Linked DNA regions of Rattus norvegicus. The protein of the gene in region 1 purifies or fractionates together with the protein of each later gene. This does not show direct contact. Links are inferred from orthologs where the notes say so. Each region holds a gene or a part of one and is shown in the gene's direction. Other genes may lie near its edges. The genes, in order: Shc1, Prkcd, Kdr, Ap2m1, Ret, Lrrk1 and Inppl1.

What was found.
Region 2: the proteins of Shc1 (region 1) and Prkcd purify together in Homo sapiens (affinity purification with mass spectrometry; 3 studies listed by BioGRID and IntAct, with this or other methods). This does not show direct contact. The link is inferred for Rattus norvegicus from reciprocal best matches to the Homo sapiens genes SHC1 and PRKCD.
Region 3: the proteins of Shc1 (region 1) and Kdr purify together in Homo sapiens (affinity purification with western blotting; 3 studies listed by BioGRID and IntAct, with this or other methods). This does not show direct contact. The link is inferred for Rattus norvegicus from reciprocal best matches to the Homo sapiens genes SHC1 and KDR.
Region 4: the proteins of Shc1 (region 1) and Ap2m1 purify together in Homo sapiens (affinity purification with mass spectrometry; 3 studies listed by BioGRID and IntAct, with this or other methods). This does not show direct contact. The link is inferred for Rattus norvegicus from reciprocal best matches to the Homo sapiens genes SHC1 and AP2M1.
Region 5: the proteins of Shc1 (region 1) and Ret purify together in Homo sapiens (affinity purification with western blotting; 4 studies listed by BioGRID and IntAct, with this or other methods). This does not show direct contact. The link is inferred for Rattus norvegicus from reciprocal best matches to the Homo sapiens genes SHC1 and RET.
Region 6: the proteins of Shc1 (region 1) and Lrrk1 purify together in Homo sapiens (affinity purification with mass spectrometry; 3 studies listed by BioGRID and IntAct, with this or other methods). This does not show direct contact. The link is inferred for Rattus norvegicus from reciprocal best matches to the Homo sapiens genes SHC1 and LRRK1.
Region 7: the proteins of Shc1 (region 1) and Inppl1 purify together in Homo sapiens (affinity purification with western blotting; 4 studies listed by BioGRID and IntAct, with this or other methods). This does not show direct contact. The link is inferred for Rattus norvegicus from reciprocal best matches to the Homo sapiens genes SHC1 and INPPL1.

The regions. Positions count from the first base shown.
Region 1 is NC_086020.1:177,136,929-177,141,437, forward strand, and holds the start of Shc1 (SHC-transforming protein 1), read left to right. Parts: upstream 1-1,619; 5' UTR 1,620-1,827; coding exon 1,828-2,322; intron 2,323-2,881; coding exon 2,882-2,952; intron 2,953-3,436; coding exon 3,437-3,500; intron 3,501-3,629; coding exon 3,630-3,749; intron 3,750-4,125; coding exon 4,126-4,179; intron 4,180-4,464; coding exon 4,465-4,509. UniProt on the Homo sapiens protein: Signaling adapter that couples activated growth factor receptors to signaling pathways. Participates in a signaling cascade initiated by activated KIT and KITLG/SCF.
Region 2 is NC_086034.1:5,775,082-5,778,680, reverse strand, and holds the end of Prkcd (protein kinase C delta type), read left to right. Parts: intron 1-2,307; coding exon 2,308-2,463; 3' UTR 2,464-3,000; downstream 3,001-3,599.
Region 3 is NC_086032.1:32,570,386-32,574,939, forward strand, and holds the start of Kdr (vascular endothelial growth factor receptor 2 precursor), read left to right. Parts: upstream 1-1,677; 5' UTR 1,678-1,930; coding exon 1,931-1,997; intron 1,998-4,554. UniProt on the Homo sapiens protein: Tyrosine-protein kinase that acts as a cell-surface receptor for VEGFA, VEGFC and VEGFD. Plays an essential role in the regulation of angiogenesis, vascular development, vascular permeability, and embryonic hematopoiesis.
Region 4 is NC_086029.1:93,862,108-93,865,521, reverse strand, and holds part of Ap2m1 (AP-2 complex subunit mu), read left to right. Parts: intron 1-1,033; coding exon 1,034-1,299; intron 1,300-2,124; coding exon 2,125-2,207; intron 2,208-2,577; exon of another isoform or gene 2,578-2,591; coding exon 2,592-2,597; intron 2,598-2,754; coding exon 2,755-2,890; intron 2,891-3,022; coding exon 3,023-3,164; intron 3,165-3,414.
Region 5 is NC_086022.1:153,019,901-153,023,669, reverse strand, and holds part of Ret (proto-oncogene tyrosine-protein kinase receptor Ret isoform a precursor), read left to right. Parts: intron 1-280; coding exon 281-476; intron 477-872; coding exon 873-1,072; intron 1,073-2,876; coding exon 2,877-3,135; intron 3,136-3,449; coding exon 3,450-3,575; intron 3,576-3,769. UniProt on the Homo sapiens protein: Receptor tyrosine-protein kinase involved in numerous cellular mechanisms including cell proliferation, neuronal navigation, cell migration, and cell differentiation in response to glia cell line-derived growth family factors (GDNF, NRTN, ARTN, PSPN and GDF15).
Region 6 is NC_086019.1:129,380,194-129,384,600, reverse strand, and holds the start of Lrrk1 (leucine-rich repeat serine/threonine-protein kinase 1), read left to right. Parts: upstream 1-1,470; coding exon 1,471-1,567; intron 1,568-4,407.
Region 7 is NC_086019.1:165,606,556-165,611,078, reverse strand, and holds the start of Inppl1 (phosphatidylinositol 3,4,5-trisphosphate 5-phosphatase 2), read left to right. Parts: upstream 1-1,630; 5' UTR 1,631-1,657; intron 1,658-2,193; coding exon of another isoform or gene 2,194-2,610; 5' UTR 2,611-2,636; coding exon 2,637-2,818; intron 2,819-4,523. Other genes in the region: uncharacterized protein LOC103691225, read right to left, coding at 1,427-1,630, 2,194-2,610. UniProt on the Homo sapiens protein: Phosphatidylinositol (PtdIns) phosphatase that specifically hydrolyzes the 5-phosphate of phosphatidylinositol-3,4,5-trisphosphate (PtdIns(3,4,5)P3) to produce PtdIns(3,4)P2, thereby negatively regulating the PI3K (phosphoinositide 3-kinase) pathways.

The DNA.
Region 1 (4,509 bases):
TAAATTTAAAGGCTTGTGCTTACTCTTTCTTCCACATGTGCGCATCTGTTGATCATTCCTGACCTTTGGATATGAAAGCTACCACAGAAAGCCATCTCCCAAGATAACAGCATGATGTGTGTTTGTGTGATTGGGAGTGTAAGGCTATGGCAGATTTTTTTTTCCTCTTGTGCCTAAGAGCTGAGGTCTTAGCAAACGGAATGACAGAATTTCTTTTAAGGAAGAGGCGTGGTGTTCAGTAACAGCTTTTCTGGGATGGGGACTAAGGACAGGTGAACGAATGAAGCATGATATTTAACCTGCTTTAAGTGCTACTACTTAGGAGACAGAGGCAGGTGATTCTCTGTAAGTTTGAGGCCAGCCTGAGCTACAAAGCAAGTTCTAGGGCAGTCAATGTAGTTACACAAACGAACCCTGTCTTGAAAAACCAGACAAACAAAAAAGTACCTTTTACTTCTTGTGTTTGGTTACTTTTTAAAAAGTGAATAAAGCTATAGTTTAATCCGGAGCTATTTTGATTGGTCACTTTCTTTAACTTCCTGAATGGCCTTCAGCAGAGCTGTGGCAGGAAACTGTGGGCAAAGAAATAGGGGTTTGGTATTATTATGCACTTATGGCCAGATTCCAGCTTCTGATATCCCTTTCTCCTTCCTGTCTTTATTAACACAGATTTGTTTATGGCCCTATTATCCCTTTGTGGCTTGTAGGCACCAGTTCTGTGTGTTTCTTTCTCCTACCTCCAAGGCCAACTCCTCTACTAGTGTGAAGTACACTGTCTGGTGGGGTGTGTAGCCTATAAGGCGTAAAAGTATATCTGTAGGTCTAAGGGGTGGCCAGATCTCTATATCCTCTGGGGGCTTTCCTCACTAGGCCTCTGGAAGAGCACCCCCACCCCCAAGTCTGTTGGTCCTTGGTGACTTGTAGAAACAGCCTTGCTCTAGCTCTTGTCTGGTAGCTCCCAGATGCACCACCCGAATTAGCCTTTATTCCTATTTCAGCTTTGTCTTTCCTCTGGGCCTCGCAGTACATCCACTGGGACTACTTCCCTTCCTGGTTCTCAACTCTGGTCCTCAGCTGTTGGGGTGGATGCTAATGGCCCAGGTTCCCTGGAGCTACCACCTCACTCACTGTATGGTGGGGGTGGGGGTGGTCTGGGCTAGGGGGTGAGGGATTCACGTCTTCAGCCGGGTCTGGAAAGGAAATGCTAAACTCTGAGGGACAACTTCCCTCCCCCCACTCCCCGCCCAGCAGCTTCTGTTTCCTTCCTATCCCTCCCAGTCTTCCCGGTCTTCCTGCTCTCTTTGGCTTGCCCAGGTCTGTTTGGATTGGTCCAGAGTTTTCCTTAACTCCTTCCTTTCTTTTTTCTCTTTTGCTTATTCTTCCTTTCTTTCTTGCCCGGCACCTCCTCCTTCCCAGACAGATCACTAGTTGTTTGTATTGGGCTGGGGAGAGTGGCCTGGCTAACACAAATTATGTGGGGAGGTGTCTCAACCCCTCTGAGCCTGTGAGTCAGCACTGTCCTGGGGATTGGTTTCTCTCCTTAGTTCCCCGCCCCTGGGGAGGAGCCAGTCAGCTCTGGGTCCAGCCTGTACTCCTCAGCCAGACGAGGTTTCCTAGCTGGGCTGGGCCAGGATGTGGTTTGAAACTGTCTAGGTCTGAGTTGGGAGAGCAGAGGTCACTTGTCCTTCGCCTCCCCAGGTCCTCTGTTATCACCCGGCTGCCGAGGTCAGACTAGGCTAAGGGTCTGGGGATGCCCCCTGCCTGGCCCCCTTGCCTGAATTGGCAGGGGGGCCGGGCCGGGCAGCAGCCCCCCTTCTCACCCCAGCCATGGATCTTCTACCCCCCAAGCCGAAGTACAACCCACTTCGGAATGAGTCTCTGTCATCGCTGGAGGAGGGGGCTTCAGGGTCTACTCCACCGGAGGAGCTGCCTTCCCCATCAGCCTCATCCCTGGGACCCATTCTGCCTCCTCTGCCGGGGGACGATAGCCCGACTACCCTGTGTTCCTTCTTTCCCCGGATGAGCAACTTGAAGCTGGCCAATCCTGCTGGGGGGCGCCTGGGACCTAAAGGGGAGCCAGGAAAAGCTGCAGAAGATGGGGAAGGGAGTGCAGGAGCAGCCCTTCGGGACTCAGGCCTCTTGCCCCTCCTCCAGGACATGAACAAGCTGAGTGGAGGCGGCGGGCGCAGGACTCGGGTAGAAGGGGGCCAGCTGGGGGGCGAGGAGTGGACCAGACACGGGAGCTTTGTCAATAAGCCCACACGAGGCTGGCTGCATCCCAACGACAAAGTCATGGGACCTGGGGTTTCCTACTTGGTTCGGGTGAGTGCATATCCCCTTTTCTACTCTCCCCATACCCCTTCCAGTTCCTCCAGATTTGTCGGGACTTCCTGCTCTTCCCCCTGGAACATCTGTGCCATTCTCTTAGTTCTTAAACCTGGTGCATTCCTTCTCCAGTTCTCTGCCCTTAATTTAGCCTGCGAATCTTCTGCCTTTCCTCCTTTGGTCCCCACTCCCCAGTTTACACAATGCTCAAGCACATCAGAGGCTTTTGGTAAAAGTTGAATGAAAATGACTTCTTGATTCTTCCCTTTAGACTCCTCCTTTTTCCAGAGATGTCACTCCATCCTACCCAATACCTGCTACTCCTCTCATAATGTCTCTGTGGTGCATGAAGTTCCTCTTTGCGGTCTTTCTTTCCTCTTTCCCCTTTCCCCTTCACAGTACACCTATGGGGTGGTAGCCCCAGGCAGTAGGAAAGCTACTTCACCTTTACTTTCCTTAGGGATAAGGCAAAGCCCTAGAACCTTCTGCAAAGGGCTGGCAAGTGTGGGGTGGGGGATGGGGACAGCTGATCCATTCTTCCCTCCTTCCCCTACAGTACATGGGTTGCGTGGAGGTCTTACAGTCAATGCGAGCCCTTGACTTCAATACCCGGACTCAGGTCACCAGGTTAGTGGGGATTGAAGTTACAGAAATCTCAGCCAGGGAGAGGAGGAAGTTGGGCATTTGGTGGTGGTGCTGATGGCGATTTCTCGTGGGTGGTCAGAGAACTGAAAGTTACAGAAGTAGTTCTGACTGGAAGGAGCCAGCTCTGGTGTGGAGCACCACCTCACCTAACTATCCAGCCTTGGAGACTGTGGGAAGATGGACTAGAAAAGGCAGCAGGGGTAGGAGGTTGCTGATGCTTTAGGGAAGGAGATGGAACATTCGGGAGCTGGGAAGAGGTGGAGCTGCAGCCATTGAGGCCCTAACCCAATCAGCCAGGAAGCGGCCCCTCAGTGTCATCAAATATTAAAGGCCCTTAATTCAATCCACCACGACAAAGAGCCTGGAGTGCTCTGGGAATCTGGCCTGGTCTTCCCTTCCCCCAGCTCTGTGGCAGCCCTAGCCAGGGGGAGGCCCATGGTGGGTCTGAGTACTCCTGTTTCTCCAGGGAGGCTATCAGTTTGGTGTGTGAAGCTGTGCCTGGTGCCAAAGGGGCGATGAGGAGGAGAAAGGTATGTGTGGTTGGTGTTGGGGCTGGGTGATTGGAGGCAGGGGAAGGCATGTGCAGGGCGTGTCGGGAGAAGGTGAGTATTTCCTTATGCTGGGAAAACTCAGATTCTGAGACTCTGGGCCCTTCCTAGCCCTGCAGCCGCCCACTCAGCTCTATCCTGGGAAGGAGTAACCTGAAGTTTGCTGGAATGCCGATCACTCTCACTGTGTCTACCAGCAGCCTTAACCTCATGGCAGCAGACTGCAAACAGGTGGGTAGGCTGCTCGAAGGAACCAGGGATAGTTAGTTATGGGAGCATCAAGTGGGGATTGGAGGCCAAAAACTTGCAGTCTTCAGGAAGAACTGGAGAGTAGAAGAGGAAGAAGTTAGGAAGGTTGAGTATAGTGATACCTTTTATCCTAGCACCCAGGAGGCCAAGGCAGAGGAATCTGAGTTCTAGTCAGGGCTACATAGTGAGACCTTGTGCCTCACCCCACCAAAAGAAGAAAGAAATTAGGAGAATGCAGGGTAAAAGGCCAAGAGAATGATCCCGGGGCTCCAAGGTTCTATGCTGGGGTGGGTTCACGTGGAGCCCTGAGGCTGCCTGACCTTTACCATTCCTTCCTTCTCCACCCTGCCCTCATCAGATCATTGCCAACCATCACATGCAATCTATCTCATTCGCGTCTGGTGGGGATCCGGTGAGTTGGGGAACAGAGAAAAGACGGGTGGGGAAGAAGAAACTAGGGGCTGAAATGATGCTGGCTAGAGGCTGGGAGTGGTGGCCACACAAGAATCCCAGCACTCAAGAGGCAGGATAGCCAGGGCCATGCAGAGTAATCCTTCTTGAAAAACCAAAAGAGGGAGGGAGAAAATACTGGCTAAAGAAGTGGTGCACAAGGATTGTGAAATATGTAAAAAGGACAGAGTTAGTGGGTCAGGAGGTAAACTCTAGCTAACTGGCCTCCTGGATCTGCCCTCCCCAGGACACAGCTGAGTACGTTGCCTATGTTGCCAAAGACCCTGTGAAT
Region 2 (3,599 bases), on another chromosome or scaffold:
TCTTGACTTGTTATCCTCCTGCAGACACACACCACCATGCCTGCTATTGGCCATTTTTCATAATTAAATTCTTCAGTACCCTGTGTCCCCAGAGCTGTATTTTGGCCACTAGAGTTAGGGCTTCGCTTCCATCCTCCATCTGTCTGTTCCTCAATCACAAAGGACGTGCCGAGTCCTTGTTGGGTGCAGAGCACTGTGCTTGGCTTTAGCAGGGTGAGAAGAAGTCCTAAATCCTGATGACCCCAGCAAGATGCCGGCACACTGGTGACACTTGTGATGGAGGGCAGCAATATGGGAGATGTCACAGGGCACACAGTGTGGGTTGCTTCCGGGAGAGAAGAGCAATAGGAACCAGGATTGCAGGGACCAGAGTGGTCTGTGAGGATGCTTCGAAAGAACTGATATATGGGAGTAGGGCTCAGCTGTCAGGTAGAAAGCATCCAGGTAGCGAGCTGTTTGTATGTATCGGGGCCTCATCCTCAGCAGCCACGGGACTGGTTGAGATTGGGAGATGATGTCACTGGGAAGCAGGAACCTGCTCAGAGCTCTGTGATCAGATGCTCAGTGGAGACAGGCCGGTCTCAACTTCAAGACCAGGCGTCACAGCAGCATCCTGGCTTTTAAAAATAAGTTAGGGCACAGTGTCCCCTTTGTGGTCATAGTTCCTCCTCTGGCTGCCTTTTCTCTCACTTGCTTTCTGTCCTCTGTTGGTACATACTGTTCCCACTGGGCCATCTCTGTAGCATGCCCCACATTTGTGCTTTGAGACAGCAGAGCCCTTCCCGATGTGGGTCTCACAGTCAGAGGCTCCCTGACCAGGGGGATAAGCTGGCCCAGCTTTAAGAGCAGCGCATGGCTCTTGCTCTAAGAGGTTTCTTCCTCCACACGCTAGGTGTGTGTGGGGATGAGCGGCCTCTGCCCCTGGGGGCAGGGCAGGTATGTGAGCAGGGCAGTGGGCTCTCAGCCCTAAGAGCTGGCCTGACAGGAAGTGAGCCCAGGGGGTGTGGTGTAGCTCAGTGACAGGTCGGTGTCCGTCAAAGTCAAAGACCAGAACCAGGCATGGTAGGACATAGCTGTGACCCCAGGCCTTGGGAGGGAGAGACAGGAAGAGCCGGGGTTCAGGGCCAGACTCAGTTGCCTGAAACCATCTTGAAAGAGCAAAAACAAGAACAAAAACCAGATTCCAATGTTTCACCTATCAAATCTCTGGCCATAGAGTGAGGCCTGATGTCTCTGAGCCTGTTTTTCTGCAAATGGAGTAGTAGCGATTCTCTCTGGGACTCTGATGTATGGTAAGAAGAAAGAAGGACGTGCTCTTTCTCCCCTAATCCACCAGTTCTCAAAAGAAGCCAGAAATCTGAAGTTCTGTGTTAAACAATATTGCTTTAGAGCCTATGGACCCCAGCACTGAGGGCGAGACATGTAGTTCCACTGTGGAGCTTAACACCAGGCCTCCTGATCCAATTCCTAACAGTTTACCAGACAAAGCATGCTAGCCCAAATGCTAGCTCAGGTGCTAGCCCAAATGCTAGCTCAAGTGCTTGTACCTTCCAGCTCAGTGTGGCCCAGAGTTCACCGGAAGCCCGTTACCATCTTATGCAGTCCTCAGGGGCAGTGAATTAGGAACTTTTCTTATAAACAGCCTGAGAATAAATATTTAGTTTGCAGGCCCCTCTCTCAGTGCAGCCCCACTCCTTGTTCAGCAGATGAGTGCGGCTGTGTAGTCATAAAGCTTGATTTGTGGGCACAGACATTTGCATTTGACTTCATTTTCATATGCCACTGGATAGTCTTTTCTTCTCCCATCCATTTCAAATTGTAGAGCTGGACTATGAGTGGCGGTGCTCAGTGGTTCTAGTGTCTGAGAGGGTGAGGCAGGAAGATCATGAATTTGTAGGCAGCCTGGGCTATATAATGAGACCTTGTTTCAAAAATACCAAAACTAAAACCAACCAACCAAAAATAGCAAATTCTTAGCTATTCTAAAAAAAAGCTATTCTTAGCTCATAGGCCTCCACTGAGAGCAGATAGGAGATGTGTGGCCTGCAGGCTGTAGTTCACTGACCCTGTTCTGGAGGATGTCCCTGTCCTTACTTACCCAGTGCACCCTGCCTCCCTTCCTCATCTCTTGGGGAAACAGCGTTCCCCTGTGATGGGACTGTCCTTGGGTTGCTGGTGACATCCTCTTTCCCCGTTGAGTCGACTGCCCTGGCTAGCACGACAAGGGTCCAGAAGCCTGGGTACCTGGCATGCCTTTGAAGGCAGACATTGGAGACACTCTGACCCCCTGCTACTTTTTGCTCACAGAAATCCCCTTCAGACTACAGCAACTTTGACCCAGAGTTCCTGAATGAGAAACCCCAACTTTCCTTCAGTGACAAGAACCTCATCGACTCTATGGACCAGACAGCCTTCAAGGGCTTCTCCTTTGTGAACCCCAAATATGAGCAATTCCTGGAATAGTGAGCTCCCAGACCTGCTTTTAATGCCCCGGCAGAGTAGGCCCATCTGCCCTGGTTTGCATCCGCACTGCCCATGAAGAAGAGTGGGTGACTGGTGATTCCTGCTGCTGCCCCCTCTTCCTCGGAGAGTCTGGCTCCTGTTGGCTGGGCTCACAGTACTTCCTCTGTGAACTGTTTGTGAATTTGCCTTCCTTTTGCCATCGGAGGGAAACTGTAAATCCTGTGTGTCATTACTTGAATGTAGTTATTGAAATATATATTATATATATGCACATATATATAATAGGCTGTATATATTGCTCAGTATAGAAAGCATGTAGGAGACTGGTGATGTGTTGACCTTTTTTTAAAAAAAACCATATGTATACGTGTGTATGTATACATCTACACACGTATACATATATGTATGTATGTATGTATGTATGTATGTATGTATGTATGTATGTATATATGACCAAAAGAAAAAGAGAGCACAAGCTACCTGAACCACAGGATTGTTTATGTGTGTATAAATAAACACTGAATGGTACCAACCTGACTGTGGGGACATTTATGTCCCAGGAAGTTGGTGGCAGGTGCTCCTGCCACTGTCGACTGCAGTGGCGTACCCCTGGGTCTTCATGCAAATGTGTTTGTGTTTAGGGGGTTCTTTTGCTCCAGGGCCCCGGGACTGCAGGAACCACAGATGTCACCGCGGGGTCATGGTAGAGGTGAGACTGGTTGTAACCTGTCTCTGGGTAGAGAGGGCCAGCCCAGAATTCAGAGAGGCAGAAAGCCAGGCCTGAAAGTCGGAGCAGGGCACACGGCTGTGCGTGTGTCCCAATACTAGTGTTTGCTTAGTGTGCGTAAAACTCGGTCCCATTTCCAGCGCCATCACACGCATGCACGCGTGAGGGATGTAGTTCTGTTGGTTGAGCATCTGCCTCGAGTGCACGCGGGAGGCCCCATCCCAGCAGGGTATAAACCTGACATTTGTAAACCTGACGTATGGGAGGTGCTAGCAGGAGGATTAGGAGTTTAGGTTCATTCTCAACCACACAGAAAGTGTTGAGGCCAGCCTGGGCTATAAGAAACCCTGTCTTAAAAATAATTCAGAAAAGACTTAGAGTCTGGCCCTAGATTAGGCAGGGAGATGAA
Region 3 (4,554 bases), on another chromosome or scaffold:
TCTGACAGCCCTCCCTGGTTCTTTTTCTGAGGTTTGTTTTAGTTTGTTTTACTCTACCCAAGAGAAGTTTCCTTAAGTGGTCTACCCTGTTCACAAATAAATACCTCTTAGATAAGAGTACACCTACACAGTGGAACGCGGATAAGAAGAACCAGGCAGAACCTTCAGAATGTTGTCCATGTACACCGTAAAGGGAAAGAAGACGCCAAACAACTTTTAAATGGAGTTTTCATTCCTGAGAAGAGGAGCCCAGTATACACACCGAAACGTGCATAGACTGTGCATGTCCCCACTAAAAGGAAAATGCCCACACAAAACATTCCCATATTTTTTCAAGCTTAATTTCACCTTATAGGTGTATATGTGTAAATGTGTTGAAACATTTTTATAGTGAACCTGGATTTTGAAAAGCCTCCTGGGCTCGACAGCTGCGTCTGGCACCACACTTCAGGCTCAGGCAGGTTCGTGATGAAGGAGAATCACTGTTTATCTCCCTTCTTTAAAAAAGAAAAGCATCGTGTTTCATTAATGGCGCACATCGGTGTAGTTTCGGTTGGATGTAAAGACAATAATCTTATCCCTTTGTCCGGCTGAAAGACTGTCCTTTAAACTATCATTATAAATGCCAGGAGTAAAAGTTGTTACAAGGTATTTATTGTCATTTCCTAGGCGTGGAAGGAATGGAAAGAAAGCCACACAGTTGAAAAAAACTGTTCACGCAGGGACCGCTTTCGCTTCTGCTCCCACAGTTGACACCCCTGAAAATGCTCCCTTCTCTCCCCCCAAGCCTATCTTGGCTGAAAGGTCAGCTTTGGAAAGGAACCTGGCCAAAGTTTCTGTAGGGAACCATGGCCATGGAGCTGGGTAGACGAAAGCACTCTAGCAGCCACTGGAGGAGGATAGGCGCTCTTCTCTGTGCAGCTGCCCTGGAGCCCTGATCACCCTCAGCAACCTGGATCTCCTGCTGCAGTTATCTGGACAAAGCCAGGCAGGAGTTCACAACCGAAATGTCTTCTAGGGCTAGGCAGGTAACTTCAAAAGATCTAAAGTTGCCAGATGGACGAGAAAACAGTAGGGGCATTGGCAACCTGGATAAGAGCCTATCTTTTAATTAAAGCGTTCAAAGGGGGCGGGGGGCAGGGGCGGGGGGCGGGGGAGTTAAAACTATGGCTGCACTGGCCAGAGCACCATTAAACAAAACTTCCAAGTACTGACCAACTCACTGAAAGTTGGTGCCCCAGATACATCTAGGTCCAGGGTTCCTATCTTCATGCTCCAACCTGCAAGCGGAGGTTTGGTCCCTTGGGGCTCTCAGCTGCAGCAGGGAAGAGAGTTCTGCACTTGGAGGCACCTAATGAGGGCGCAGCCGGTCTTGCGTTTCTGGTGATGCTTCCCGGGTTGCTGGGGGGCAGCAAGTGTCTCAGAGCCCCTTATTGGCTACATTTTACTTCCACCAGAATCCGAGCTGCGTCCAGATTTGCTCTCGGATGGGACTTGCAGCCCGGCACAGTTCCGGGGTAGTGGGGGAGTGGGCGTGGGAAACCGGGAAACCCAAACCTGGTATCCAGCGAGGGGCGTGGCCGGACGCAGGGAGTCCCCACCCCTCCCGGTAATGACCCCGCCCCCATTCTCTAGTGTTTAGCCAGCGCTGGCTCTCTGCACTGAGTCCTCAGGACCCCAAGAGAGTAGGCTGTGTCTCCTTAGATCGCCCGGAACGCTACTCCGCACGACTGAAAGCCCAGATTGTGTCCTGCAGCCGGGATAACCTGGCTGACCCGTGTCCGCCGACACTGCTGCAGCTGCGGCTGGAGCCAGGGCGCCGGTGCCCTGCGCTTTCCCAGGTTTTGCACTGCAGGAGCGCGTACCGCTTCTGTGACTTCTTTGCCGGCCAGGGACCGAGAAAGCATCTGTGCCCAGCGCGAGGTGCAGGATGGAGAGCAGGGCGCTGCTAGCTGTCGCTCTGTGGTTCTGCGTGGAGACCCGAGCCGCCTCTGTGGGTAAGGAGCCCACTCTTTAGAAGTAAGGTGGAGCAGGGTGCGGGCGGAGAGTGGGGATAACAGAGAAGAGGACCTAACTCGGAGAGCTCTAGAGACCCGTCCTTTGGTGTTCTTTCACTTACCAACCGGGAAACTGAGGTTCAAAGACTCTTCCGAAATGACTCAGCCAGGATTCTAATCTCCCCCGGGCTCTGGCTGGAGCGTGTCCTGCGGAGCCCACAACCCCTGGCGCTGGGTAGGCGGGAGTGGGAAGGCGCCCTGCGCCGGGGCAGGAGATGCTCCCACTGGCAGGAACAGGCAGTCAAATGCCGGGAAGCCAGTGCAAGCCGGGCGGCCTGACTGGCATCGAGCACGCAGGCTGTTGCTTGCTGCCCTGAGTGGAGCAGGGAACCAGCCTCCCGCTCCGCTCTGCTTTAGCTCCAGCGGGTAAGCTCACTATGTGCGCTCTTCACAGAGCAACACTTTCCTACCCAACTTTCTTTGGTGCAGAATGCCACTTTGCTGGCAGGAGGAAGCGGCTTCTTCTATGGTAGCTTTTCCAGGTATCTTAAAGTAACTCTCCACTTACTACTCCAAAGTGTTTGGTCCTGGGGTAAACTCTGAGTTTCTGAAAGTTTCAGAAACTCTTTAGTTTGGCACCTAGATATAGGCCATTTTTACTGTTTAAAGATGCCCTGTGTTTCAAGGTTAGGCTCTCACTCGCTCTTGGGCTTTTGTGCAACCCCTTCCCTTCTCTTCCCTCCTTTCCTTCCCCTCTTCTCCTCCTCATCCTCTTCCTCCTCTATTTCTCTCTCATTTTCTTTTTGTAGCCACAGTTTGCAGATTTCCCAGACTCCATCCATTGGAGAATGGAGAGTCAGAAAAAAAAAAAAGTCAATTCTGCAGAAACATTCCTTATATCCGAAGAAAATCGCATGCCTTAAAAGCACTGGCGCTGACGTACAGCGCCAGGATCATCTGTCTACAGTTATTGAATCTTCCTCATAATGACTTGGTTCACCAGGCTAACTCCATCATGGGTGCCCATTTGTTCCTGACAAGGCCTCACTCTCCCGCTTTCTGGGACGAGAAAGGCAGCCTAGAACACGTGCTTGCCCTGGGTCCCATAGCGAAGTGAGTTGCTGTGAAGCCTGGAGTGTTCCTAGTGTAGCAGTTTAACAGTAGCCCGTTGGTTGGTTCCCTGAATTAAACGGAGGTTGCCCTTTTGGAGTGTGTGACTTTCTTAATTGGATTGGACCATAATTGGTGCCATCGGAGTCTAGAGACAGAGCCGCTGTTGTTTTTCCTTCTGGTCTTTGAGTGGGAAGGATAACAGTGCACAAATTAATTAATGTTGGTTATCGGATTTGAACATAAAAGGGCTTTTATTGAGTAGCAGCATATGTACCTCTTACAGTAAGAAGGAGCTTTCTAAAGAACAGAACCCAAACTTGCCATTGAAAATGAATGAGGTTTAATAAGGGGGAGAGGGATCATTAGCCATTGATGTAAATCTCCAGTTATCGATAACCTCGTTGACTAGATTTGATTGCAGACACATCCCTTGGATACTATGGTGCTGTATTTGGTGTCTCGGGAATGGGGCATCTTTTACAGATGAGCAGAGCTAATGCGCCTGCCCTCTAAGAGCATCTATGGCTGTGTGTTATGACAGAGACAGTAGCGCGGCTCTGAGTGGCTGTAGCGTGTTGATCAGCGGTAGAGCGCTCAGGCTCTGCATTCGCTTCCCCACTGAAGAATAAAGGTCACTTACTGTGGTGGTAGAGTGGGCGCAGCTTACTACCACATTTTCCTCACCCATCTGCCTGAATAATGGGTTCACCCCATGAGTGTAGCCAGTGATTGTCTTCAGGTTAATGCTGCTCAGTCATGTTTAAAATCTACTTATCAAACAAATTGTTTTTATCTCCCACTTCTCAAACAAAGTAAGATTCCATCATTCAAAGGCTTGTCTATGAACATTTTAATTGCATGCCTATGTTAGGGACAGTAACTTCTTTGATATGGACAAATATTATGCCGGTTAATTGAATATAATTGCTCAGTTCTGTAGCCGTCTCGGGGTGGGGGGGACCAAGAGCACCTGTGATACAGTCACTTTCGATGCCATTTAAAAACCCCTATTTGTTGGTCTAGGAATAAACACACCATGAGGTTCAGACTCACAGTCCACACACGAGTTATTAACAATGCCAACTAACTTCTGAGATTCATTAAATGCCATTTAATTTCCAGCGTTTGAAAAATGTTAATTAATGAATAAATCCACGGTTATATCAGCAGCATATGTACATCCGGTTAGGTTGGGTGTATTCAGGGTGGAATTGCTGTAGACCGTTATGCACATCTGTGCAGGTGTGCGAGAACCGCTACAGTCAGTGAACGGCCTGCTCTGCTTGTTCTCAGAGGGCCACAGTGTCACGGCACCGGGTGTTTGCCTTGGCTGTTTGCTCATACTGCATTAGTGGCCTCATATTTGTTCCCGCTCACTCATTTGCCCAACACTGTCAATGCCAGCTGAGGCCTGAGGAGTCATCTGTTCTTAGTCAGGGTGGCT
Region 4 (3,414 bases), on another chromosome or scaffold:
GCTCCTCTGGTTCTTCCTACCTTGGTTATCCCCCCCCCCCAAAAAAAAAACCCTTGAGATAAATAGAGACTTCTGATAGCTCTCCTACCTTCTTGCCTCCCTGGCTGATGGGCTAGCTTGGTGTGGCTGTATCCATATATATATATATTTTTTTTTTTTTTTTATTTTATTTTTTTTTTTTTTTTTGGTGGTAAAGCTGACCTAGATTTTGTGGCAGTGCCTAGCCTAAGTAAACCTGGCTGGTCCATCCCTTCCTGCTCCTCCCACCCTGGATGGTCCTGGTTTATGCCACCGCTGGGCCACATGACACCCCGCATGCCTTAGTGTGCTCTCTACCTGTTGCCTGTCTTGTCCGCCTCTCCCTCATGCTCTGTGCTGCCCACCGTGGTGTGTTGTGTGTCGTCTAACCCTCTCTCTCCTTGCTGTCACTCTCCTCTCGCTGACGTCATTTCTCTCATCCCATCTCATTGGCTGATGTAGCAATAGGTAAGCAGCCTGTGAAGCTGCCGCTCAGGTACAAGTGGGTTGGGGGTCCTCCCCCCTCCAATTGTTTTCCTTCATCATTTTTTATTCCCTAAACTTCAGGAATCAGACCTTAGAGAAGAGGTGGGTGGCATAGTCCACAGCCCCTCTTCCCCTTTAGAGCAGAGTCTTCTTGAGGTCATACAAGTTTGTCCAACTACCAGAGGAGTTGGCTTTTCCCACTGGTGGGCCCAGTAGAGATCTCCTTCTCTTCAGGGCCTGGAACTTCTGGAAAGCAGAGAGGGGACATCTTGGGTGTATCTGGGGAAGTAAAGACAGGGCTAGGGCTCAGTTTATTAACACTATACGCACCCTTCCATAGTTACCATTTGACTCCCCCTTCAGGAGCAGGCCAGTGCAGAACCTTCCTGACCCTGCTGGGGTATCAGAGGGAAGCCTGTAGAGAGGTCAGGTTTCGGTGACGTGGAGGGGAGGCCGCCAGCAGCTGCAGGTGATCCTCATGGGGTGAGGTCTGCCTAAGTGCTGACCGCCTCTGCGTCTCTTCCCGTAGGAGGAATGCAGTGGATGCCTTTCGCGTCAATGTCATTCACGCACGGCAGCAGGTGCGCAGCCCTGTCACAAACATCGCTCGCACCAGCTTCTTCCATGTTAAGCGGTCCAACATCTGGCTGGCAGCAGTCACCAAGCAGAATGTCAATGCCGCCATGGTCTTCGAATTCCTCTACAAGATGTGTGATGTAATGGCTGCTTACTTTGGCAAGATCAGCGAGGAGAACATCAAGAACAATTTCGTGCTCATATACGAGCTGCTGGACGGTGAGGTGTTTGGGGACCGATGGCCGCGGTGGGGACTGACCCAAAAGGGAGCAATCTAGAGCTCGCAGCACACTCCGAACTTTATTGCTTGAGTCTGTGACCTCTTAGGTGATGAGCTCTGTGTCCCTGATGCAGCCAGTCTGAATCCATTCCTAAAGATTGTTTTAGAGTAGAACTCAAAAATAGGCCAGCGGGTGCGGGGAGGAGACTTTGGCCTTCGCTGGGCTAAGAACCTGACTGAGTGAGATTTGGTGGCTGAGCAACCATCTTCACAGACAGAGCCAGCTCTCATCTCCACTCCTCCAGGGCCTGGAGAGGAAGTCCTAGATAGTCCCTTGGCTGTGCTCTTTTCTCTTGTAGCATCTGTAACTACTTCCCTTTTATCACCATCTGTTTTCTGGAGAAAAGGAGGGCTCAGGGTTTTTTTTATCCTCTTACCCACTGACCATGTGACTCTTCTATGAATTTTTTTTACATATGAAAAACATATTTTCTCATGAAGAACAAATCATGCTGAATGCTGGAAGCTAGAAAACCTTGCTGTAGATATAGACAATTCTGCACAGCCCCAGGATCTGTGCTCCACAGGCATATCCAGGCCAGAGGAAGGATTGGAATGAAGGAGCCTTCGATTTCTCCAGAAGCTAGTAGTTCCCTTCTTTTTGTTATTGAAACAGGGTTTCTCTGTGTAGCCCTGTGGTATTGGAACTGGCTCTGTAGACCTGGCCAGTCTTGATTGAACTCAGCCACCTGCCTCTGCCTCCTGAGTGTGAGGATTAAAGGACTATACCACACTGCTAGGCTATAATTCCCTTCTTTTTACAGAGATTCTGGACTTTGGCTACCCACAGAACTCAGAGACAGGTGCACTGAAAACCTTCATCACCCAACAGGGTATCAAGAGTCAGGTACTTAAATTAATTGTATAGAACAGAAGTAGGGTGGGCCTCAAACTCCTTTCTTTCCTATGATGCCCAGCCTCATTCTAGCTGACTCATGAGCTTGCCCTTGACAGGAAGTGCTAGCCTCAGCCTCCTACCATGACTGCAGGCCTCTTTTGCTCTGGATAGCTCTCCTGCCCCAGAAGCTGCCAGCTCAGCACCTCTATTACGAGGAATACAGCTCAGTTGGTTTCTTCTCCGTGGAGGGTGTGGGTGTGGCTGCTCTGCAGGCCTTGTGTTCCTCAGAAGAGCACATGGGCTTTCTCCTCAGACTCAAGCCTCATAGCTCTCTCCCTTTGCTTCCTCACCACGCTGCTTCCTGTTGCACCTTGCTGGCTCTGCGGTCTCTAGCATCAGGTAAGCTGTTCCTCGTGTTTCTCATTGCAGCTTCACTCGTTCTGTAGACCTTGCCGAGTTACAGAGTGATGAACAGGAGGGAGGCTGATGTGAGACCCTGGGGAGAGGGTCATGGGAGGGGGGTGGTGAGGTCATCGGCCACCTTTACCTCATTTAGACAAAAGAAGAGCAGTCCCAGATCACCAGCCAGGTGACCGGGCAAATTGGCTGGAGGCGGGAAGGCATCAAGTATCGTCGGAATGAACTCTTCCTAGATGTTCTGGAGAGTGTGAACCTGCTTATGTCCCCACAGGGTGAGTGTCTTCTCATGACGAAACCGGTGTGTGTGAGGAGACGGGGGGCGGGGGGGGGTTGGGGAGGGGGTGAGGGTGAGTCCTGGCCTGCCGGGTGGCTCAGCTGCTCCCTGTTCTCTGTTCTGTCACCAGGGCAGGTGCTGAGTGCCCATGTGTCGGGCCGGGTGGTGATGAAGAGTTACCTGAGCGGCATGCCTGAGTGCAAGTTTGGAATGAATGACAAGATTGTCATAGAAAAGCAGGGCAAAGGCACAGCCGATGAAACAAGCAAGAGGTACCTGAGGCTGGGAGGTCAAGGGACACAAAGATGGGCGAGCCTTTGAGAGTCCAGTGAGGCCTAGTGGACTCCAGCTTCCCTTTGGAGTTCATTTCTGCTGGAGTTGCTAACTGTCTCCCCAAGTCCTCCTTGTCTGGTTAGTCTTGGCATCGATAGTAAGACCGTCTCTGTCCTTGGAGAGCAAGCTCCTTTGTTTGGTCCCCAGCAACAAAGTTCTCAGGAGATAAGGAACCCGAAGGCTTTCCCA
Region 5 (3,769 bases), on another chromosome or scaffold:
CGTTGCTTCTCTCGGGGAACTAACTAGGTATAGGCTTCCGAGGGAGTGAGAGCAGGTATGGGGAAGAAAATGTCTTATCAGACAACCTTAGAGTGATTCCAGCGGCCCTGTGGCTTTGCTCACAACTCTCACCTGAGGCTCTGGGGACAAACATTCGCTTCTGATCATCTCCCCCTAGGATTGGTTCTAACAAAGCGTACTTGGTATAGTTCTGGGCTGTGCTAGGTCATGTGGTCCTCTGACTGTACCTGGGCTGACTGGTGCTCTCTGCTACCTGCAGGGCACTGTGGTAGCCACTCTGCAGGTGTTTGATGCAGATGTGGTGCCAGCATCTGGGGAGCTGGTGAGGCGGTACACAAGCACACTACTCTCAGGGGATTCCTGGGCCCAGCAGACCTTCCGGGTGGAGCACACACCCAACGAGACCTTGGTCCAGTCCAACAACAACTCCGTGCGGGCAACCATGCACAATTACAGTAAGGAGCCGACAGTGTGATGTCTTCTTAGAACTACAGGACAATTGATACACCCCATACTACATACGCACACACATGCGTGCATGCGCGCACACACACACACACACACACACAAACACACACACACACACACAAACACACACACCACATGAAAGTCACATACGTTCCATACACACCAAAATATGTCCCACTGAGCACAACCATTCCAGGCTATACAGTCTGTGTATACAAACACTATCCAAATACCTTATACACAAACCCATTTAACATGCTAATTTTACACACACACACATGTGTGTGCAGGGTTGTATGTTGGTATGGATGTGTAGTATGTGGCATAGGGCATGGTCCTGAAGGATAGTAACTTGTTTCGTCTCCTTGTGCGCCCACCTACAGAGCTGGTTCTCAACAGGAGCCTGTCCATCTCAGAGAGCCGAGTCCTGCAGCTAGTAGTCCTGGTCAATGACTCAGACTTCCAGGGGCCTGGGTCAGGTGTTCTCTTCCTCCATTTCAACGTGTCTGTGCTGCCTGTCACCCTGAACCTACCCATGGCCTACTCCTTCCCAGTGAATAGGAGAGCCCGCCGTTATGCCCAGGTGAGCCCATGGCCCATTGCATGACTTGAGATTAGGGGCTTCCAAGACAACAGGCAGGGGTATGGGCGAGTGGCACCTCTTCACTAGCCCACCCGTGCAGAGTTAGCATAGGTAGGTCCATAGTAGGCTCCAAAGTGTATCCTTGAACCTCTGTTTATACCTTTTCACCCTAGAGGGCTCCTAGCCCCTCATCAGTGCCTGGAGCAAGCCTTCTGATTTTACTGGTTCACTTCTTGGTATCTTTAAAACATTTTTTGCCCTAATAGAAATGCATTTCCATGTAACCCTGTGTATGCCTAATTAGAAAGGTGTTCCTGCTGTACGGTTCAGTGCAAAAAGTGGTTGGAGGGACTACTGCTCTCTCTGGTGTCTCCACCAGCACAAACTACCTTTCAGTTGGGGGTAACTTTAGCGTACAGCAGACTGTGGCTGGCAGTAGTGCCTTGTGGGAAAGGGCAGAGGTTACACCTGCTTTTAGAAGTTTATGTGCTAGAGAAATCATGAGGTAATGTTCGGATTTGTCTTTGGAAAATGATAATTGAAATGGAAAAGTAGAAGACCAGAGTCGTAGTTCTCTGTGTGTGTGTGTGTGTGTGTGTGTGTGTGTGTGTGTGTGTGTCTCCATCCTAGCAAGCACTAGGTTCTATCCTCAGCACTGCTAAACTAAATGAAAATACGAAGAGTGGAAGGTAAGTCATGGCGTTAATTAAAATCATGAGGAATTGGGGGTGCCCCCTACCCCTTGACCACCAGTGAGAGCATTTGCTGCAGTTCTAACTTGGTGGTTCTCATGCGCTCACGGTGTCTGTTGCATTCAGTTCATTTGTGGTTCGCGTGTGTCTGGTTTAACTGATTCGGCTTTAGGGTGTGTGTTTGGCATTGTCTCCTCGTGTGTCTGTGGTCGTTCCAATTCTTACAGCCGGTTCCAGGTCCTCACTGCTCCCATTACCAGCACACAAAGGACACACCTGTAGATAGAGAGAGCCTTTGGCCCTTCTCCAGGGTGTGACCATCAGGGCAGGAGTGGGGGTGACAGAGTGAAGTGCCTGAGGAGGAGTTCAAGGCATCAGTTGGAGGTAGATCCCTGCATTTAGCAGATTCTAGAGCCCCAGTCACTGCCCTCATAGTGACCGGTTCCTTATTGTCTCCATAGTTTTGAAGAGCAAGTCGAGGCCAGGGACCTCGGATAGTTTTAAGGATCTGTTAAGAAGATGGAAATGAACATTCTTTGTAGGGGAAAATGAAGCAACCAGGAGGCTGGTTTTTTAGGGTGTCAGTGTGGCTCGGGAAGCCCCATCCTTGCTCCTGGCTCTTAAGAAGCTGCCTCCTAGGTCACTACACACAGACACAGGGCCCCATAACCAGAACTACCTCTGCAGCTTTTAGCAACCGTAGCTCACTGGAGTGGCTGTGAGGTAAAGACTCAGGACCTGACTCAGCCAGGCATCCCCAGAAGGGGTCTCTTTCCAGAACCTCTGAAGAGGCCGCTTGACCTCAAGTGGGACAGATGACAACATTGCAGTCACTCAGCTAGGGTACAGTGCTCTGACGGTTGGGGGACACACAACAGGGATTATGGCCATCCCGGCTGACTCCCAGTGGTGTGGGTGTCTGGCGAGTTGGTGTCCTTAAGCAGGGCTGACCAGGCAGGTGGGCTTGTAGGTGCTGAGGTGTAGAACACTGGACATCGAGGAAGACTACCATTCAAGCTAAGTTGAGGGCCATCCCCCAACTTGGTCTACCCAAGAGCCCATCCAGCTAAGGTGTACTGGTTCGAACCTCCTCCTCCCTCTCCCCCCTCCAGATTGGGAAAGTTTGCGTGGAGAACTGCCAGGAGTTCAGCGGTGTCTCCATCCAGTACAAGCTGCAGCCCTCCAGCACCAACTGCAGTGCCCTAGGTGTGGTCACCTCAACAGAAGACACCTCAGGGACCCTATATGTAAATGACACGGAGGCCCTGCGGCGACCTGAGTGTACCGAGCTTCAGTACACAGTGGTAGCCACTGACCGGCAGACCCGCAGGCAGACCCAGGCTTCGTTAGTCGTCACAGTGGAGGGGACATGTAAGTGTCAGGCTCCGTGGAGGGATGAGATGTCAAGGACAATCACAGGGAACACTTCTGTGTGAACCGGCAATACCAGGTGTCCTTTGCTGTGGTCACCGTCATATCCTCCTGTCCTTATGTTTACCAGAAGGGCTCAGCAGACAGGAGCTAATGAGAGCCTCTGGCTCTGGTGCCTCAGTCCCTTTCACAAATACCCTAGTTACCCCAGAACCCATGGACAGTGGAACTGTTGTTACACTCTGTCCGTTTCAGAGGTCTGGAGACTGGGCCCACACCAGTCCCAGTGACCTTGGCTTGTCTGTCCCTCCCAGACATTGCAGAAGAAGTGGGCTGCCCCAAGTCCTGTGCAGTAAACAAGAGGCGACCTGAGTGTGAGGAGTGTGGTGGCCTGGGTTCTCCAACTGGCAGATGTGAGTGGCGTCAGGGAGATGGTAAAGGTAGGTTCGGGAGCTGGCAGGGGGTGGGATGGGGCTGGGGAGGAGGATGGGGGAGGAGAGCTGGGTAGGGGCCATCCTGGCTGCCGTCAGGAGTGAGTTCGTACAAGGTCTGCTAGTCCCTCATTTAGCTTCCCTGATCCCTGTCTTCTAAGCCTGTCCCTCCTGTGGAACCAGTGCCAGCAGAGGAGGCAGGG
Region 6 (4,407 bases), on another chromosome or scaffold:
TATGTGGCCAGACAATTCATGCCACACAATTCAAGTTATTTTAGCCCCACTTCTGACTGTAAATGAATTCTTCTTAATATAAATGTTAGCAGTGAATTAATCCAGCAGCTGCTTTTCCTTACCTTATACCAATAATCACACAGGAAAACCAATATTTATTGAAAACTGTGCCTCAGTAGATGAGCAGTAAATGCTCTATCTTTACTTTCTATGCTAGTGTGGCTCCCTCCCAGCCCCACCCCATGATACTTGGATATTATTATTGATCTGGCTCTTTGGGCCCCTTTTCCATGGCTCCAATTCCTCCAGTCACTCACTGCTCTGAGTCTCCCTCTCTCCCTCCTTCCCTCCCCCTCTCTCCCTTCTGCCTCTCTCTCTCCCCACCTTCCTCCCTCCCCACCTTCCTCCCTCCTCCCTCCCTCCTTCTCTACCTCCCTCTCTCCCTCTCTCCCTCTCTCCCCCCCCTCTCTCCCCCTCTCCCTCTCTCCTTCCTCTGGCTGGTGGACATCCTGTCCTGCCCTGTTCTCTCTTCTGCCCAGCCATTGGGTGATCAGCATTTATTGACAAGGCAGAGACTAATTGGTAAGAATTGTTTACATAAACTTGAAACAGGAGATTCTTGGTATAAGCATTATAATACTGTGTCCAGATTAAAACAAGATATGAGGGCAGAGAAATCAGCATTGGAATGACAATGGGTGACCTTTACACCGTGCACAAAAACACTATGCCTTCATTTGACCTTTACTCACTATGAGCCTATAACACCCCCTCCCCCAAGTTGTGACAACCCAAAATATCTCTAGATATGGTCAAATGTCCCCTCAGAGAGAGGCAATGTTTACAGGATTCATTTGATGTCACAACCAGTAACAACTCCTTCTAGACTCCTTTTCTTTGGGGCCATTATCTGGCTGTCACTTGGAGCAACCATAGGTATCAGTCCTGAGCAAGGGATGGCCTTGCACCGTGAGCAGCCGTGCGCCCACCCTACCCCACCTGAAGTGTTAATCCTCCCAACGGGAGCCTCAATTTTGCTGTTTGGGCGGCATCAGGGTCCCATACAGGGCCTGGCAGAGACAGTGCAAGAGACAGCGGTTAAGTGTGGAGTGAACGACAAATGGGCACAGCCAGTGAAGCTCAGTGACAGCTTTTAGTTTGTTTTCATAGAGACAAGATCTGGGCCCAGTGTCAAGGTGGGATGGGAGGGGTCATTGTCCTTTCAGACATGTGGACTATGGAGAAATGTGCAGAGAAGGGGGGAAGCCAATGACAGTGGGGAACACCTACAAGGGCTTGCAAGAGAGGACGAGTCTGAAAGCCTTCTAACTCGATGTCTTTCTCCACCAGGACGAGCGTGTGTGTCTGCGGCACCATGAGCAGGTGTCCGTGCCTTAACCCATCTGCACAGTGGCAGTTGTGGTGACAACAGCAACACTTTCCTTTGGAGATCTGCTGCCTGGAGGGTTGATGGCTGCCGTGTCACAGCGACCACCCAGTATGTACTGGTGTGTGGGGACAGAAGGATCAGTTGTGTGTCCAGGGCCTGCCATGGAGACCCATAATGGTAAGTGGTACGTCCACAGGGACTGTGCTGTGCTTGGTCTATAAGGAGCTTAGGCTCCCTAAGAACAGGTATTTTCAACCAAAGAAAATAAAATTAGGATTATTTGGTGCTTTTTCTATATCTTGGGATTCTCACTTAAATTCCTAAAACTGAGAGGTCATGTACAAAATTTATTATGCTTTCAGAGATTTTAACATCATATAAGTTAAGGGATTTTTTTTTAAAAAACCGAGGATTCCTTTTTGTTTTTACACTATAAAAATGCTTGCTTACCAGAGAAAAACTGAGAAGAGAAAAAGAGAAGTTATAAAAAAGAGGTTCACCTAGTATCTCCCTGCGCCAACAGCATCACAGGCGGTGATGTGCCTGCTCCTTTAGTCTGTTTCTCTGTGGTTAAGGACTTGAGTTTCACACTACAGCAGTGGTTCTCAACCATCCTCAAGTTTCAACCCTTTAATACAGTTCCTCATGCTGTGATGACCCCCCGACCATGAAATTACTTTTGTTGCTGCTTCGTAACTGTAATTTTGCTACTGTTATGAATTGTGATGTGAAAATCTGTTTCCCGATAGCCTTAGGTGACCCCTGTATAGAATAAAACATGCTTCAAGATGGCCAAATTCTTGATACTGGCATGAATGGTTTTGAAGAAAAAGGCTCACACTTTAACTGAACACATAGTTTAAACTCCAGGGTTCTTTGGAAATGGTATCTTACGCCTTGCATTCATGGGTGTCCTGCGTTTTTGCACAGCCCCTACCTAGCTTGACTTGTATGTGTTTAGGATGGTTTCACAGCTCATAGATTTGCAAGCACAGAGCAAACTGCGGCATCACCATGAGTCTCATGAGGATGTCAGAGGGGGGCTCTGAGAAGGTGGAGGAGCCATCTTAGAGAGACTCGTGCATTTCAGATGATTGGCAGGAGGAGCAGGCAGCCAGCCCTTACCTCTGCTAGGCCAGAGCTGCTAGAATCTAGAACGAGACAAATTCCTTTGCCAAACATGACACGTTCTTTTCTATGCCCAGACCAGCTAGAGTGGAAAAACCTGCTCTACCAGTTAAGGTGAGGCACCCGGAGAAAGTACATCAGCTAGGAAACTTCCAGATAATTCAGCCTTTCCTACACAGCTGAAGGTATGGGGAGGTGCTGGAAGAGACCCATCTTTGTGTGAGGGTCCTGCCCTTGTCCCTGAAAGATGTGAAACAGCTACCTACCTCTTAAAGCACCGTTAACTGCCAGCCCAGCATGAACCAAAGAAGATGGAACATCCCAGAGGGGCTTCAAATCCCAGGTTGTTACATGAGTGTTTGAGATCTCTTCCTCCTCCCCCTCCTCCTCCTCTTCCTCCCCCTCCTCCTCCTCTTCCTCCCCCTCCTCCTCCTCTTCCTCCCCTCCTCCTCCTCTTCCTCCCCCTCCTCCTCCTCTTCCTCCCCTCCTCCTCCTCTTCCTCCCCCTCCTCCTCCTCTTCCTCCCCTCCTCCTCTTCCTCCCCCTCCTCCTCCTCTTCCTCCCCCTCCTCCTCTTCCTCCCCTCCTCCTCTTCTTCCTCCCCTCCTCCTCTTCTTCTTCCTCCCCCTCCTCCTCTTCTTCCCCCTCCTCCTCTTCTTCCTCCCCCTCCTCCTCCTCTTCCTCCCTCTCCTCCTCCTCTTCTTCTTCCTCCCCCTCCTCTTCTTCTTCCCCCTCCTCCTCCTCTTCCTTCCCCTCCTCCTCCTTTTCCTCCCCCTCCTCCTCCTCTTCCTCCCCCTCCTCCTCTTCTTCCCCCTCCTCCTCTTCTTCCTTCCCCTCCTCCTCCTCTTCCTCCCTCTCCTCCTCCTCTTCTTCTTCCTCCCCCTCCTCCTCTTCTTCCTCCCTCCCCTCCTCCTCTTCCTCCCTCTCCTCCTCCTCCTCTTCTTCCTCCCCCCTCCTCCTCTTCCTCCCTCTCCTCCTCCTCTTCTTCTTCTTCCTCCTCCTCCTCCTCTTCCTCCCTCTCCACCTCCTCTTCTTCCTCCCCCTCCTCCTCTTCTTCCTCCCCCTCCTCCTCTTCCTCTTCCCCACCTCTCCCTTCTTCTTCTTCTTCTTCTCTTCCTCCTCCTCCTTTGGCTTTTAAAAATACACATTAATTATCTGTCATGGTACTATAACCACATCGTTTGCCCAAGTGGGGACTCATCATGCCTTCCAGGAAATAGATTGTAATAGGAAATGCCTCTAACCTGTTAGCCTGTATGCTTCGATCTGTGTGCAGTTGCACTTGCTGGGATGTGTGGGGTGCATGTACTAGACAGGTGAGTGGGGCCACCCTCTCCAACCAGAGTACAGGGGCACCCTGAACCTCTACCGGAAGCAGTCGGGGGTCAGGTGGGTGGTGTCTTACTAAGTGAGCTGGTAGGTAGTCTGCTGGGTCACGGTCAATTCATGCAGGTGGCTAGAGCTACACTTCATTCCTACAAAGCAGAGCTGGCTATGTGACCCTGGGCTAAGTGAGACTTGTAACATTTACCTTAATCTGAGATCGGGGCCTCACTTCGGGCAATAGGGAACTGACTAGCAAGCCAATGATTTGAGGTTTTCCTAGGAAGTGGATGCTCTGGATTCTATCCTGCTGTTAACTAGTTCTGCCCAGTAGGGCAACTCAAATCCCTTCAGTCCTTCCTTTGGGAACTAAATGCCCCCGCTGCTAAAAGCCAAAACCTGGCTCTCCCTGCTGATTCCTTCTTAGGCCAAGTCTTCCAGGTGCAGTCCTCATAACACATTCTGCTCCCACAGTGCTTAACCTCCTTCTCACCTCAGGCTGTCTGTGGACCAATCCTTAGCCTGTGGCTTCCTGGGTGCAAGGAAAGAACAGCTCCCACCCCTGCCT
Region 7 (4,523 bases), on another chromosome or scaffold:
ATGAGGCCCAAAGTTACAAACCATTAGAGGCTTCCCAGAGGCAGAAGCATCCTCTCCCTGTCCTTTGGTTAAACTGCATTTGTGTTTATTCTGAGTGTGTGCATGGGTGTGTGTGGGCTGCAAGGATGACTTGGCACAGGTGTGGAAGTCAGAGGACAACATGCAGGAGCTCTCTTCTTTCACTATGTGGGTCCCTGGGGTTCCACTCAGTCTTCAGACTTGGCAAAAGCACGACCGGTTAAGCCATCTCACCCCAGTGGTACATTCTTTAGCATCTCTGTTCTCTCAGGAAACTCTAAATATATTGATTTTGGAGGGTTGTGACAGCTTTTCTCCTCGTCTCTCCTTCCCTCTCTCCCTCCCTTCCCCACCTCTCTCTCTCCCTCTCCCTCTCCTTCTCCTCCCTCTCCCTCTCCCTCCCCTCCTTCCCCTCCCTCCCCCTCCCCCTCTCTCTCTCTGCCTTGGACGGTCTGAAATTCTAGAACAAGACCAAGAAAGCTGGCTTACAACTAGGTAGAGTTTCACTTGCTTCTGCCTCCTGAGGGTCCCGAATACAGGCATAGACAAGTAAGACCCCCATTGCACACTCCCGGGATCTGGGGTGATTTCTGGGTTTCCTGTGTCCTCTAGTCCCCGCGGGAGGAGCTGGGTACAGATTGTTATTTTATTTAAGCCCTGGCAGGACCTGGAGAAACAGGTAGGCGGGTCGAGGATCTCTGTTTTTGTATTTATCTGGTCTGGAAGGTCCCGGTAGACTCATCACGTCCAGGCTTTGTTCTAGCTGGGTTAAGCCAATGCAAATTGGCTTATCCTTTAAACGTAGGAAAACTCCTCAGGGCTGACCCCAGGCTCGGTCAACAGGTTCAATTTACCAAAGCGAAAGTTCTCTCCCAGGTTAAAGGGATGCTCCTAACAAGACTCTAGTAGTTGCTGGTTGTAAGAAAGCGGCTAGAGGCCTGCGCCTTTAAGGAGCCAGGGGGCAGAGGGGCGGGGCAGGAAGAGAAATCCTTGGAGACGCCAACACCATCCAGGTCTTTTTTTAGGGGGGAAATGGGGCGGGCCAGAGCCGGCTTGGGATCCGCCCCGTCTTCTCCCGCCGGGTCCCTTTTTCCGCCCCAGGGGTAGGTGGATGGGAGGTCCTAGCAGCCTGGGTGTCGGGAGCTCCCTGCTCGCACCTGGTCCAGCGAAGGCGCAAGTTTGTTGAATTGGAGGGAGTAGCCGGAGCGGGGGCGGTGCTAATAATACCCGTTCAGTCCCCAGTCGCGCTTTACAGTTTACACAGCTGTCACCTTCGTTACTCCTTAATTAATAATAAAAATAGCCGCCGTCCCGGAGCGCACGCTGCGTGCCAGGCCTGGAGCTTTACAGGCAGAGCCCCAAGGAGCCCGCCCTCGTAACGTTACCCCAGTTATCGAAAGCGAGAAGCTCAGGCGAACCGAAGAGCCAAGATTGGCCCGAGGTCACTCTGCGGGCGTGCGGCGGAGACCCGGACGCGGGCAGACGAGGCGGGGCGCAGGGCAACCCCGGCTCCGGGGGGCGGGGCGCAGGCGGGGCGGAAGGCGCGGGGTGCGCGGTGGCGGCGGATGGCCATCTTAAGTGGCCGCGGGGAGTCCAGGGAGGCTTCCCCGGGCTAGGAGTCACCAGAGTCGCCCCAGAGGTGGGGGCCTGCACTCGGCCGCTGAGGCGTTGGGACTTGAGGGAACTTTTTTTCTAGGTAGTCTAGGGGGTCCTCCTAGTCTGGGACTGCAAAACCTGGGCCTGCGGGTGTGGGTGTGGTGCCAGGCAACTTGGAGGAGATGGGGGAAGGGTTCTGCCAGGCTGGAGGGCCTGCGGGGATCGGTGCGTGAAAGGCTTAAAGATACTGGACCTCGTGCGCGCGCGTATGTGTGGGGTGGGGTATCCGATCTTTTTGGAAGGGATCTTATGAGATGTGTCAGGGATCGGTTTTGGGGGTTCAGTTCTGAAGGGGCTCTGATCTTACAGGAGTTGGGAGAACTTGTTCTCTTGGATGATGGGGTAGTAGTTGTGGATGTCTATCCTGGAGCCTTCCTTTGCGAACCGCGATCCCGCAAGTCTGTGGGGGTGCCGAGTAGCAGAAATGTGTAGTAGAATCAGACTTGCATAGGGATTAGGGGTCATCTCCTTGAGAATCGTTTGGAAGGGTTGAATTCACCAGGGAGAACTCGGACTCACAAGTTGTCCCGTAGCGGGTACTGGGGAACTGGATCTAATTGAGGTGGGGGACAAGATAATGTGGAACTTGGGAGGTTCGGGTCCTGGAGGGCTGTCGGAGTTTCGTCCTTGGCGAGAGGCTGGGGGCAGGGGCGGCCCGGGCTCTGGGCCGAGTCGAGGGGGAGGGGACCGGCCAGCTCCTTGCTCCGTTCCCGCCCCTCCCCCGCCGCCTCTGAACAAACTTTTCTTTCTCTTCAAGTTGAGGCCGGCGCTGCTGGCGGCGGCGGCTGCGCGGAGATCGAGGCGGCCGGCGCGGCCAAGCGTGGACCCCGGATACTGGGCTCTCTCAGGCTGGTGGATCCTCAGGCCCGGAACCCGGGCCCAGGCCCAGCCTCCACTCCAAGCTTCCCTGGGCGGATGGCGCGGAGCGGCAGGCATCGGCGGCGCTGAGCCCTACGCGGGCCATGGCCTCAGTGTGTGGGGCACCGAGTCCCGGGGGCGCGCTAGGCAGCCAGGCCCCTGCCTGGTATCACCGTGACCTGAGCCGCGCGGCTGCGGAGGAGCTGCTAGCTCGGGCAGGCCGCGATGGCAGCTTCCTGGTGCGAGACAGCGAGAGCGTGGCGGGGGCCTTCGCACTCTGCGTCCTGTGAGTAGGGCAGGCACACTCAGAGTGTTCCTTGGTTGTGGTGGTAATCCTGGTAGTGGGTTGACTGTAGCTGTGGGGCTGCAGCTCTGTCTCCACCGTGAGTGGAGACCTTGACTTTATCGTTGGGTGGAGGAAGGATACAGGGGAGCACTTCCTGCTGTGTCTGGAGCACTTTCTGAGGCCTGAGGCCAGAGTTCTGAAGCCCAGGGTGGGTGTATGGGAAGACATTAAGGCAGACGGTGGCATACCAGCGTAGACCCCCCCAGTGTCCCAGATGCACAGGGAGAAAAGGATACATGCTCCATGTGAGTGCAGATTGTTTTAAAGCACTGAGTGGTAGGCAGTAGGGAGCAAAGGGACCAGTGTTTGGATGCCGGGGCAATTCTGCGGCTATGATTGTAGGGTGGAGTGGAACAGTGTGTGTTGAGAGGAAGACTTGGGGGAGGCAACAGGGAGAAGCTATGTGGGACAGAACCTTCATGAATCAATGAGCAAGTCTCTTTTGGCTCTGGATTGAGCTCTGCTTATCTGGCCAAGGCTGAGCCTCAAGGTAGACTTGGCCGCTTTCTGAGTGGGCCTGATCCCGTGGCTGTACCTGGCAGCTGTGTGTGGTAGTGGGGTGCTTTCTGTTTTGTAGTGTTCTTTCTGACCTCTGCCCCCTGCCCCACAGTTCAACAGTGTGTGTGTGTGTGGGGGGGGAAGCATCAGGGGCTTCTGTGTTTAGATTTAGTGAAAACACTCTCAAATGACCCATTTCCTCTGTCTTTCCTCCTTTCTTCTGACACCTTTGGGCATGCACTGGCCCAGCCTACAGGGAACAATTTTGATTGTCACTCTTGGGATGGGGCTGTGGGCATTTGGTGGATAGAAGCCAAACCTACTGCTACAGATTTGACGGTACCTAAGACGACAAAGGAATTGGGGGTTCCAAAGGCTAGAAGGGTAGACATTGAGAACTCTGGCCTAGACAGTTGACCTGCTGAGGGAGAGATCCTGTAAACCTCAGCTTCTGCAACAAGTCCAAGACCCACCTAGTGTGGAGAGACTAAAGCCAGACATCTTATGTCCATGAAAATCCCAAGACTCCTGCCTCCTAGCTACCTCTAAACAGATCCCTTAATTAGGGAGGGGACAGGGGCAGGTGCTGGATCAGCTGTCTGCGTGGGAGGGGGACAGCTGAGGCCTCCTCCGGGTAAGGAACTATTGTCCCAGTGAAGAGATCCTGGTTCCATTGTCAGGAGTGTGGGGTTTGTGTGTGTGTGTGTGCGTGCGTGTGTGTGCATGCGTGCGTGTGCGTGTGCGTGTGCGTGTGTGTGTGTGTGTGTGTGTGTGTGTGTGTGTATGTCTTTCTGTATTTATAGGGAGGCAGATTTCAGCTCTTAGGAGCCTGGCAGAAGGGATCAGAAGTAGGTGGTTTTTTAGGTTTCCCAAACACATGCTTACCTATCTACACATTACATGTACACAAAGAACATTTAAGACACACCCCTGCCCTGACAGACAAACTGGCTTCTCCTCTGGTATTAGATACCAGCCAGCCCTACCTTTTAATTGTTCTGTGACCTTGGACAAATCATTTTTTTCCTTTCTGACCCCCAGTTTTCTCATCTGGAGAACGGAAATATTATTGTATATACTATCCAGTGTGAATATAAGCATAACACAGGGTTTGGTTACTGGGATGTTCTTGTTGTCATAAATACAG